3 linked regions of the Pelodiscus sinensis genome follow. The protein of the gene in region 2 interacts with the protein of the main gene of each other region in a pairwise test. Links are inferred from orthologs where the notes say so. Each region holds a gene or a part of one and is shown on either strand. Other genes may lie near its edges. The genes, in order: MALL, LDLRAD1 and BNIP3.

What was found.
Region 1: the proteins of LDLRAD1 (region 2) and MALL interact in binary tests that used the Homo sapiens proteins (3 or more experiments, as listed by UniProt). The two-hybrid records come from large-scale screens. The link is inferred for Pelodiscus sinensis from reciprocal best matches to the Homo sapiens genes LDLRAD1 and MALL.
Region 3: the proteins of LDLRAD1 (region 2) and BNIP3 interact in binary tests that used the Homo sapiens proteins (3 or more experiments, as listed by UniProt). The two-hybrid records come from large-scale screens. The link is inferred for Pelodiscus sinensis from reciprocal best matches to the Homo sapiens genes LDLRAD1 and BNIP3.

What each region holds. Positions count from the first base shown.
Region 1 is NC_134713.1:196,682,287-196,686,039, forward strand, and holds the start of MALL (MAL-like protein), read right to left. Parts: upstream 2,922-3,753; 5' UTR 2,856-2,921; coding exon 2,748-2,855; intron 1-2,747.
Region 2 is NC_134719.1:11,284,487-11,288,239, reverse strand, and holds the start of LDLRAD1 (low-density lipoprotein receptor class A domain-containing protein 1), read left to right. Parts: upstream 1-1,479; 5' UTR 1,480-3,753.
Region 3 is NC_134718.1:47,399,299-47,403,051, reverse strand, and holds the start of BNIP3 (BCL2/adenovirus E1B 19 kDa protein-interacting protein 3), read right to left. Parts: upstream 2,820-3,753; 5' UTR 2,503-2,819; coding exon 2,457-2,502; intron 1-2,456. UniProt on the Homo sapiens protein: Apoptosis-inducing protein that can overcome BCL2 suppression. May play a role in repartitioning calcium between the two major intracellular calcium stores in association with BCL2.

The sequences.
Region 1 (3,753 bases), on a different chromosome or scaffold from region 2:
AGTCCTAGGACTCTGGGCCCTGACCTATACAAGGGCTTTATTTCGAAATAACCTCCCGTAGGTCGAATGAATAAGCAGAGCGTCCACACGACCAAGCCCGTTATTTAGAAATAACAGGTCGCTTATTTCCAAATCTGTCCTCCTGCTTTCCTCGGGGAATCACGCTAATTCCAAACTAGTGATTTCGAAATAGCGATCGTGTGGACGCTCCAGTGCTGCTATTTCAAAAGAACGGCTCCCCAGAGTCATTCGAACTAATGACTCCCCAACGTTTCCAGGGGCTCCAAGTCGAGGGAGCCCGTCCATATTCACATTCTGCCTCTGTCTCATTTTGAGGGTTCCCTGTAGTGAGGACACGCTAGCTTGATTTTCTTATTTCAGGAGTTACTAAATCAATGTAAATTATTTCAGAATAGTTTCTTAGTGTACACATATCCTAAGTGACACTTGATCTATACGGGTGTGTCTAAACTACATGGCTCCGTCGACGGAGCCATGTAGATTAGGCTGATAAGCAGAGGGAAATGAAGCCGCAATTTAAATAATCACAGCTTCATTTAAATTTAAATGGCTGCTGCGCTGAGCCGACAAACAGCTGATCAGTTGTTTGTCTGCTCAACGCGCTAGTCTGGACGCTCCCGCGCAGACCTGAAAGCCCTTTATCGACCTCCCCGTTATGCCTCGTAGGATGAGGTTTACCGGGGAGGTCGAAAAAGGGCTTTCATGTCAACAGGGGAGCATCCAGACTGCCCCGATCTGACGACAAACAGCTGATGGGCAGAGCGGGGCAGCCATTTAAATTTAAATGAAGCCGCGATTATTTAAATTGCGGCTTCATTTCCCTTTGTCGAACAAACAAATCTACATGGCTCCGTTGACGGAGCCATGTAGTTTAGATGTACCCTAGCAGTGAGAGTGGAGTGGACTATCAAGCCTTATACATTGTGCCAATGCGCAGTAAGAATGTATGATGGGTTGGGACTTTCGCATCTCTCTTCCTGCGAATACCTCCTAAATCTATCACGAGACATTTAAAAACTACACAGATGACAGCTATTGCGTCTTGTCTAGAGATACTTTCTTCTTATCTCTCTGCAAGAGGATCCAATCAAGGGGTAAATCTTAGATAGTCACTTCCACTCCCACCAGTATACAAGTGCTGGTAGATTTTTGGGCAACTCAAGTCCATAACAATAATGATAAAAGTGGCCAGAGTCTCTAGCTTGTATGAAAGATGCACAAACCTGCCTGGGTTGAGACTGAGCAGCAGCCAAGTAGCTAACGTGAAAGCGAGCGCTTGCTGCAAGGAAAGGCCTTGCATGATTTTCATCAAAGATATGCAGGGTTAGGCATCGCCTGCAGCTCTTTGCAGCATGTTATTATAACCTCGATTTAATAATTAACAAAGTCATTAAACCATCAGGATGCTTTAACTAGGCCATAACCAATGGCGGTGGATAAAACAGTAATACACACACACACACACACACACACACACACACACACACACACACACACACACACACAATATATAAAACAGTAATACACACACACACACACACACACACACACACAATATTTCCCCGTCACACTGTTTAAATAAGAATAGGACTCAGGGCTGGTGACAGACTTTGCAGGGCCTTGAGCAATGTGTGTGAGGGGCCACTGCTCTAGAAGGGGCGGGGCCTCAGGCAGAAGGGGCAGGGCCTCAGGCAGAAGGGGCGGGGCTAGAGGCAGCCAGCTCTCAATGCTGCCCAAACAGTGTCATACCTCCTCCGGGCAGCCCACAACGCCATTCAGACCACACCATGCAGCTCAGGGGGCAATTTAAAGGGGCCAGGTCTCCGTCCTCTGCCGTAGCTGTGGTGGCAGCAGCCCAGAACACCAGGCCCTTTTAAATCAACAGGCCCCCAAGCGACTGTCCCTTTGTCCCCCCATTGGTGGCCCTGATAGTACGATAGTAAATGAAACAATGAATTCACACAGCTGTGGCTCCTCCGGGTAATGCTGATGGCTAATTTGGCTCCTGAACCACTGAGATCTGTGTGTCACTGATTGGTCACATGCTGTATCAATGTGGTGTTCATGACACCACAATTAAACACTCATTGTCAGCATCAAGCCAACAATAAAGTCTTAAAATGCTGACATTTCTAATGGAAACGTCAGCTTATCTTTTCCTATAGCTGTCTGAATAGGCAGCAGCAATTACCAAATACACCCAATCAACGTATTTTATGGACGTAATGATTACGAACAGACCTAGATGGCTGTATTGTATATCAAAGTACAACATCGATTGCCATAATCTTATTAGACCTTCTGCGACGCACATCCAGGACTCTGGACAAAGGAACATTAAGAAAACCTGCCATTGCTGGCATATGATAATACAACCTTTGACCCCCCCCCAGAAAACTGCAAGAGGGCAGAGAAAAAACAGCCCTGAAGAAGCAAGTGACAGACACGCCTCTAACTTCCAAGATCTGACTTAATAAAACATAAAACTGCCACCCCATGCTCGGATGAGAAGCACTATTTTGGGTGACTCCAGCCCCGAGGAAGATGCCAGACCTAACGATTTTAAGATAAGTAGCAGCGGAAGTAAACTTTTCCCCATATCGCTTTCTTCTTACCCCAGTTGCTTTCGGTGCTGGCTCTGGATTCCCGCCTCCTCCCTGCCGTTGACATAGTCGTTAAGTTTTTGCCATCGCAAGCGAGCAAATCAAACCATGCCGTGTACTTACTAGCTCTGGTACGATAAAAGCATATGGCACCGTTCTCAGGACTTTTAGTCCAGATGGTATGTCCGCTTCTATGTTGGTAACAGGTGCGGGGAGATCTTTTGATGCCATCTCCTCTCTGCTCAGCTCCAAGTCCTGCTCCGCTATCCTCGGTTATCAGTGCAATGCACAGCTTAAAAGTACTAGCCAGAGACACACCTGCCTGGAGGTAATCAGTAAAACCAGTTCCAGCCTGGCAGGTCAGACCGCTCCTTGCGGCCAAAAGAATCCTCAGCTGCTCGAGCTAATTAAGCACATTCCTTGGACAGTGAATAAGCCGGTGGATGACAACGTGCGGATGACTGGTGAGATTTTTATCACTCTGATTTGTGGCTCCGTTTCCTATGACACTTTGCGCAGCTACCTGGCTGGGAGGCCTCATGCAGCTGTTGCCAGAATGGACGTGGGTCCCTTCTCTGTCCGGGCCGTGAAAGAACAGGCTGACCCCAACCCAGCTCAACAGAGAAGCCAGGAAGAGATCCCAGTGACTGACGCCGCTACACCGAATGGCAGGAGACCCGGGCAGAGGGGACGCGTGCAGTGAGCTGGAGCAGTGACCGGGAATGTGTTAGGTGCTGGGGTCCCTTTGCTGGGACTCCGGAGTGACAAAAGGGGCAAGAGGAGTCGGAGAGGGAGACCAACGCAGGGCTGGCTCCTCACGGCGCTGGCTGGACCAGCATGGACTCCGGAAGAATTTCTGCCTCTCTTTGCTAAGCCAAGGACTTTCAGATTCCGTAGCCGGGTGATTAACACACGGTGACCTTGTTTTGAAAAGGCTGCCTACCCCACTTGTGTCCTGTTAGTTCCTAGTCCCTGGCTCTTTGCCCAGCTCTTGATCTGATCTGAGTCTCCTCTCCACTAGCTCCTAGGCCATCCCCAATTTCTCAGTCCCCGTCTCCCCCCACGCAAATCCCAGCCCTTGAGTCCTGCCACTCCCCGGCCAGCCTCCAGTCCTGGTGCCACCCCACCA
Region 2 (3,753 bases):
TACAGACAATTTGTTTTTACAATCAGTAAAAAACTTGAGATGATTATTCTAGCTAACCTGTTCAACACAGGTTTGTTCTTTCCTATAGCAGCTATAATCTTGTGCCTGCTAGATATCTTGAAGAAGGCGCTGTGATGGTTTTCCTTAAAACCCCTTTGCAAAAATTTAGAAACTGGCCTAAATATCTTATTTTGGCCAGAGTTATTAGCGCTTTTTTTAAAATGTCTGATTATATCTACATTCAGGTTAGAAGTAAGCAATAGATACTGGTTTTTGCATAGCTTTTTGTACACTAGCAAAAATTGTATTTGAGACGTTCCAGAGTAACTCATTACATAACTTGCTGTTCTGGTTTTAATTAAAGTTTTGGTTGAGTGGGAGGCGAAGATGGTTGCCGAATGGGCAAATTTTGAGGACTATATAGCTTATGCATTATGGGTCCATACTTGAAGTGCGTACCACATACACTGTGGTGCTTGCAATTGTGTGTTAAGCATACACAGAGCTGCTATAAATCTGTTCTTTAAAATCATGTGCACCTTACATTTTTTTGTCATTAAGGTATAAGTTGAGGGGTGTCTACTGTGTTAAAATACAAACATTGAATGTTTGCCCAATTACTATGTAACTTTTGGTTGATGTGGCATTGAAAGAGGATCTGACTTAACTATGAAAGTTGGAGTGCAATGCTCTTCTTAACATCTCTAAATATTTAGGTTTTTGCAAGGATCTCAATGTGAAAGTTGTTTGTGTAGTGCTTTAAAAATTAGCTTTTTTTCTGTATTGTAGTAGCAATTGTCCCAAGACTCATTTCTATGCAGTCATGTACTTAAGTACACAGCCTTGTTAAATGCAGAATGCTGATGTACTAATATTCAATGCACCTTGAGCAATGATAGCTTAAGATGCAAATACAGACTTCATACCAGTGGCCATTGCTGGTATTCTTTGCACTACCTTTGTCTGCAGGACAGTTTCAATAACACTTTAGTTATCCCAAATCTTTATAACCGGCATTGTAAATGTTCTTTGAATCTGTTTTTTCCCCTATGATGTGTAAATGTTTATCGCTTCACTGAAAGTATAATTGTCCAGTTGCCTGTTTCAGTACAATGTATAGCTCTAATTGTCAATGACTTCAATTTTAACTCATGCATGTAAAACTGTTCTTCTCATTTCGTTTTTCTAAAGGTGGCTGTTTTCAAATGTTTAAATTTTTAAATAATTGGGTTAATTAACAGTTTCTAGTTTTTTAATATTGAGCTGTAATATCTACTTAAACTTCTGGAAACCAGAAATGAAAGGAAGGAAAAGAATAAACAAAGGTTCAAATCTTGGGCATTGTTACTTGAAACGTTACTATACTAGGAATAAAGTCTAGGACTCAGTAACTCCTATAAGCAGTATCGGCGGGAGGTGGAGGGGGACCTGCATTCCTGCAATGAGATTCTTGAGGTATTAATTTCTATAAACAAATTTATATAGCTTAAAGGACCTGACTTCTACGCTATTGTACATCTTTTGTATCCAGGTTTTTCCCATTACCACATTTGATTCTGATAATTAGTTGTTACTACAGTAAGAACTGCTGGAATTAGACCGATTCACTCATCTTGGCACTAAGATATTGTTTAACTACTATGGGAGCAAACCTAGATCCTATATGCTAGTTAAGATGGCAAAACAATTTCTATTCAACTTATTTTCAAATACTCAGACTCTTGAAGTACTGTATACAGTAACTGGGTTTTGGGCTCTTCTCAAAGATGGAAAATTAAATTGCCCAAGCAATTGTAGATGAGGGACCAAATACTTCCTCCTCTTCCCCCACCCATATAATTGTGCATCTCTCCTCTTACTTTGAGAACTCGGATTCCTAAGCATAGAAACAAGAACCCTGCTGTATCGGTGGCTAAATCAGCTATACATGATTTCAGTTACAAAAAACTAGTAGTAAAATAACTAAGCTATGGCCACTGCACCATAGATACCTAGGACTCTGGTAATTCCTACTAACTGGCAGTGGTGGAAGTTCACATGCTTGCATCTCCCCTTACAAAGCTCACAAACTTTACTTCACAGATACAGAAACTGAGGGGCAAAGGCAGTTTCTGATTGAGCTGTAGTTGTCTTAACACTTCATCTCTCATCTTGGTTCTTACCTTCTACTCTAGAGCAAAGTGTTTGCTGGTCTCTGATTTCTTAATGATAGACAAAGATGAAATGTCCTGGCTGGTTCTCAGGCTTAGCATCAGAATATGGATTTACAAGGATTAGTTAGCTCTATGTGGCTCCTGAGGGGGATCATGCTGGAGTAAGGATCATTCCAATTATTCAGAATGATCCCTGAAAAAGGATGTTGAATCACTAGCATTCGTGGGTATGTGCTGTGCTGTCACGTGTGATGTAAGAATTTAAGTAAAATCCCATTTTAACTCTTTTTAAAAGAGCCAAGTGGGAGGCACCTATTTGTAGAGGCACATTCTCATGGTCTTACTTTCCTCAATACCAGCTGTAAATACTGCAGATGCAGTGATCAAAGGCAATTATACTCAACATCCCTGTCACCAGAACATCCAATTGAAATTCCTAGGACATCAACTTAACCTGCTATTTTTTGGTCTAAACTTGGAATATTTTAACATCTGCCAAACCAGTTGTAACTTTATATTTTTTTTCAACCCAGTAGTCTTCTTAAACAGCAGCCCTAACAGAGGATATTAGAGTTCCTTAAGCTGCTGGATCTTTTTTTTGTTTTGTTTTGTTTTTTTGGGCCATTTGAACGGAGCATTTTTAACAAACTTCTAGGGCACTGGTATGTTTTGTGTTCAGTGCTTCCCACACCCCCAGAATATGTTGTGCTAGGCAGTCATCTAAACTTGGAATCTTGCAGAGGCAGGAACTAGTCTGTTACACTTGAACAGTATCATGCTATTGAAACGGGAGGAGGGGAATCTTAAACTATTAAAGGATTCAGAGGGGTAGCTGAGTCTGTAACTAAAAAGACTTAAAACAATGAATAGTCTAGTAGCATCTTAAAGACTAACAAAACATGTAGGTGGTATCATGAGCTTTTGTGGGCAAAACTCATACCATCTGCTTATTAGAGGATTGTCAGTCTTAGACAAAGGCTGATTTAAGATGTGTGATGGGCTGAAAATTCCAACTTAACTAAGTCACCTTGGGCTACCCTTTGCCTGTTATGTGGAAACTGATACATGGTAGAATACTAGAGCTGGAAGGGACCTTGAGATATCAAGTCCAGTCCCCTGCCCTAGTTTGAAATGTTTCCTTTTCACTCCTAATCTCTCCAGAAATAGAGGCCCAGCAACTGATTCTGCTTTAGTGTCTGTGAGGATGGTTCCTTTAGTTATTTCACTGTGCTTCAGAAAACCAGCCTATGCCCTGGTTGCTATAACAAATCAACTTCATTTAACTTTCCCATTGAAATAGCTGTGTATATGCCCATCTCTAAATCACAGTTGTAAGGCTAGCTCGCTATCTAGCTGTCTCCTTGTCCTTTCACCTGTCTGATTTCCAGGAAGGTGACTGGCATTGCAGCATGTCTGGAAAGTTAATTCTGCTTCTGCCAGAGGCTGCTGTGCTCAGTAAGCTCTGTTCTGCTCATTTGCTAGTGAAATAGTATATGGGACAGTTGAATTGCAGCAGTGCACTGTGCTGTTCTTAGGTGGTGGTGTATGCTCACTGTTTTACCTAGGATTCACACAATATACCTGCATTGCTAGGAAAAGC
Region 3 (3,753 bases), on a different chromosome or scaffold from region 2:
CTGTACAGGCAAAACTTTGGATAATGGCCAGTGCTGATAAGTGTTAAAATTATCAAAGTTCCAGCTCTCATCGATTTCCTATTTATACAATTCCACAGCCATTCAAAACTGCTTCACATGTCAACTAAACACAGTCCCTGATTATGACTTTGTATATTGGATCTTTTAGTGATTGGTGTTATAGATAGATTACTGTAAGTGAGCTCTTGCAATAGTGATTAGATACTGAAGGCTGATGTTTAATAAAAAAACAGGAACATAAACAGATATGTAGGTAGGAGAGGTTGAGAGCTGGAAGGCAACCTGAGTGGAATGAGTTATGGGTAGGCACTTGAAGGGAAAAAAAATAAGACTGACTGGTGCACTGGACTAGGCAATATTACACAAAAATAAAGGCTAGCATGAGACAAGCCAAAGATGGAATAATTAGTGGGATATTATTGGATCTGTGAATATCTTTAGTGCAATACTTCCAATGTTAGTCACTGCCACAGAACATTTGCATAAAATTCTGATGTCTGAAATGACAAATTGCTCTGAGAGCAGACAAAATTCAGTGTGCACAGAATGCCAGTCCCTCTCTCTCTCTTATCTCAAATATCAGTGAAGTCCCCATTTAAAACAACTGTCCTTCACATGCTTTGACGGTTGTCTTATTCCTCAGCTCCTCAACAAACTCCTTTGCACTTCCAACATTCCAAATACAAGGAGCATGTGCAATTACACTAGATCACATCTGAATGCATAACCTCTTACCTCTGACTTAGTACTTTTTGTCTCGCAAATAACACATTCTGTTCTTTACGAGAGTGCACGTCTCTTGAAACTCTATCCTAATCTAGCTCTCTCTTGTTGGTGTGCGGCTGTGTGATTTAGATTTCAGTGCTTTTTTAAATGTGTTCCATTCCTATTCAGAATTATGTTCACTTTTTGGTCACCAAGACATTGAGCCAGCCTTGACTTCCCTGATAGAGAAGCAGCTGTCTGTCTCTCTTCATGAGCCTTGAGAATCTCCTACCAGAAATACTATAAAATTAAAATACATAAAATTGAACCTTACTTCCAAAGGAAACTGTATATTTATATCCCAAATGTAATCATGAGCTTATCATGCAAACTTGTCTTAATGTTCCAGTCCAAATGTGGTGCGCACACAAATATTTATGTATAATGTTTACCATTATTACCTTTCCAACCACCAGGTGAGGAAAAGACATATCAGGCTAAGTCCCTTTATGATATGTGTGTCTTATCTGTACATATCAGTGATAGAGAAATAAGACCATCTGAATCTTTTTTTTTTAAATCTTCCAGGGCTGAGAGAGTTATGAAACACCATCTTGTGGTTTTGCTACGTGCAAAACTTCTAACCCTTAAAATGACAAGGTAAAATAACTGGCATTATATATAGTTTAGGCAATTAAATAACCACACCTCTCTGTCTTTCACATTGACACACAGTGAAATCATAGAGAAGATTTGGGAATGTAAGCTAGACTTTTTGATCTTTATTTTCAAATCTGCAAAGTATGCAGGAAATACCTGCATTCCCCAATTTGAGGTGAATAAGGGAGAATTCATAAAATATCTTCTGCAAACTGATTTCAATATTTTTAAGTATGGCAAATATAAGCCCTGATTTCATTTTTTGTCACCCATGGTAAAACACGCTTATTTATTAAAATCCTATCTCTCATTCTTCCATTCCTCTGTTGTGAAAGAAAAATATATTCAGCCAAAGGATTATGGTTTGCTGGGGGGATATGTCAAACTAGAATAGGTAAATCTGAACATAAAAAGATGTTTATTATTTATTTCCAACAACAAAAAATAGGGTGCTTCCAAAACGACCCAAATCCATCACATCTGTCCCATGGAGTTTCAGGTCTAAGGAACATCAATTATATCAGGGAGCTGGCAAGAAGGTGCTTTTCTTTCTTAATCCCACAGCTAGCCATCCATGAAACCGTAAGTGTACCTGCCATGTTTGTGATAACTGGATTGCTGCTAATGGCAACCTCACTGCATGGGGGTGGGGAAAGGCGGCGCGTGTAACGAGATACCTCATTGACTGTGATTTCTAAATTGCTCACATTAACCCTAGCTCCAGACAAGGTACAATAAAGCCCGTACGCAATCCCACACTACTTGGATTCAACGACAGTCCTGGCGCATGAAGGACCGATCACCATCCATTTACCAGCGCTGGCAGGGGCAGTCTACCCCCTGCTTGTCAAGTGTCGTGTTTACTGCAGGGTTATTTATTGCGCCTAACAGCAGATCTTGTCTTGCGAAGGCGTCACGGGCTATCAACAAAGGGAACCGGAGTCCCAAACAGCTCCCATTCCGGACAGCCAGTGGTGAGGTCCCCGCAGGCTGATGGAATGGGGGTGGGGCGCTTCCCTTAGGGGGCCTGCACTAGGGGCCTAACCCTGGCTAGTAAGGGGGGCTCTTACCGTGCAAATTCTCCTCCGGCTGGCTGAGTCCCTCGCCCTGCGACATTGTCTCCGGCTTCTTCGGGGCAGGCGCTGCTATTTTCAGCCTGCGCTTCTCGCGTCCCGACGCGGCTGGCGGGGGCCGCTGCTGCTGCAGCTGCTGACTGCGGCCAAGTACGCAGGGCGGGCGGATCAGTGGCCAGCAGCTGACAGGCTCTGTTATTGTTATTGCTACTGCAGGTTCTGGGGCTTGCTGGGGAGTATGACGTCTCGAGGGAACGGGCCACCCTGATTGGCTGTCATCACATTCCTCCCCTTTTGCTCCTGTAGCGCTTGCGGGTGCACGGGCTGCCCGCGACCTGCTGGGAACAAGCTCAAAGCCTGGATGTCTCCGAGCGGCTACTGCCCTCTGGGGCCTAGTGGCGCCTCTTCTTTCATTGCAACATGGGGCAAGGCTGTTACTAAGCTGTTACGGAGCACCCGGCTTTTGCACATTGGCTTTTAACGCTTCCCCGGCCCCCCACCAGCTGGCCCTGATCAGGAAGCGCCAAAGTCAGAACTCACTCCTGATTGGCTAAAAAGATATCAAGCCATGGCTAGTTTGCATTGGACACTAAGTTGGCCTCATTTCAGATTGGGTGGGAAATGAGGGACAAAATGTTCAGTTCCCACGTTCACTAATGTGCATTGATTTCTACGCCGAGGCTCATGACATCATTTTCCAGCACTGTCAGGATCACGTATTCATTCCTTCACTTGCTGTGCAACTTGTTACTGACCGGTGTGGCTAGAAGTGTTTCCCTACTGTTTACTAATTGTAGTGGCTTTTAGACACCGTCTGTAAGCCTTGTATTACATCCAAAACGTGGATCAGTCTAGCTACCTCGGTTGTGAAAAATATACCAACCTAACCCACGTTTTATACAATGTTAGTCAATAGAAAAATTATTTTGACAGTCCAGCTATTTCCTCTCACGGAGGTTGGTTTACTATAGCAATGGGGGTTGGGGTGGGGAGGGAGGAGGACTCTTGGTTGCTGCAAGAATTATCTTTGCTACAACCAGACATTTCTGACCAGGAGGGCCACAGTCAAATATCAGTTTGTGGTAAATTGCTTTTGAGCCATCTTTGCTAAATACTATTCTACATATAATTTTTAAACTTTCTCTTTCAACATTTTCTTGGTGGTAAAAGGGGTTCGTATAAGTAGATCCAACACTCTGTAAGCACACATTTCAATGTCATAAGAATTTTGCCACTGCATAGCTATGAAAACACTCTTGTGTTGCATGGCAGAATTAGAAACATAGGTACATCA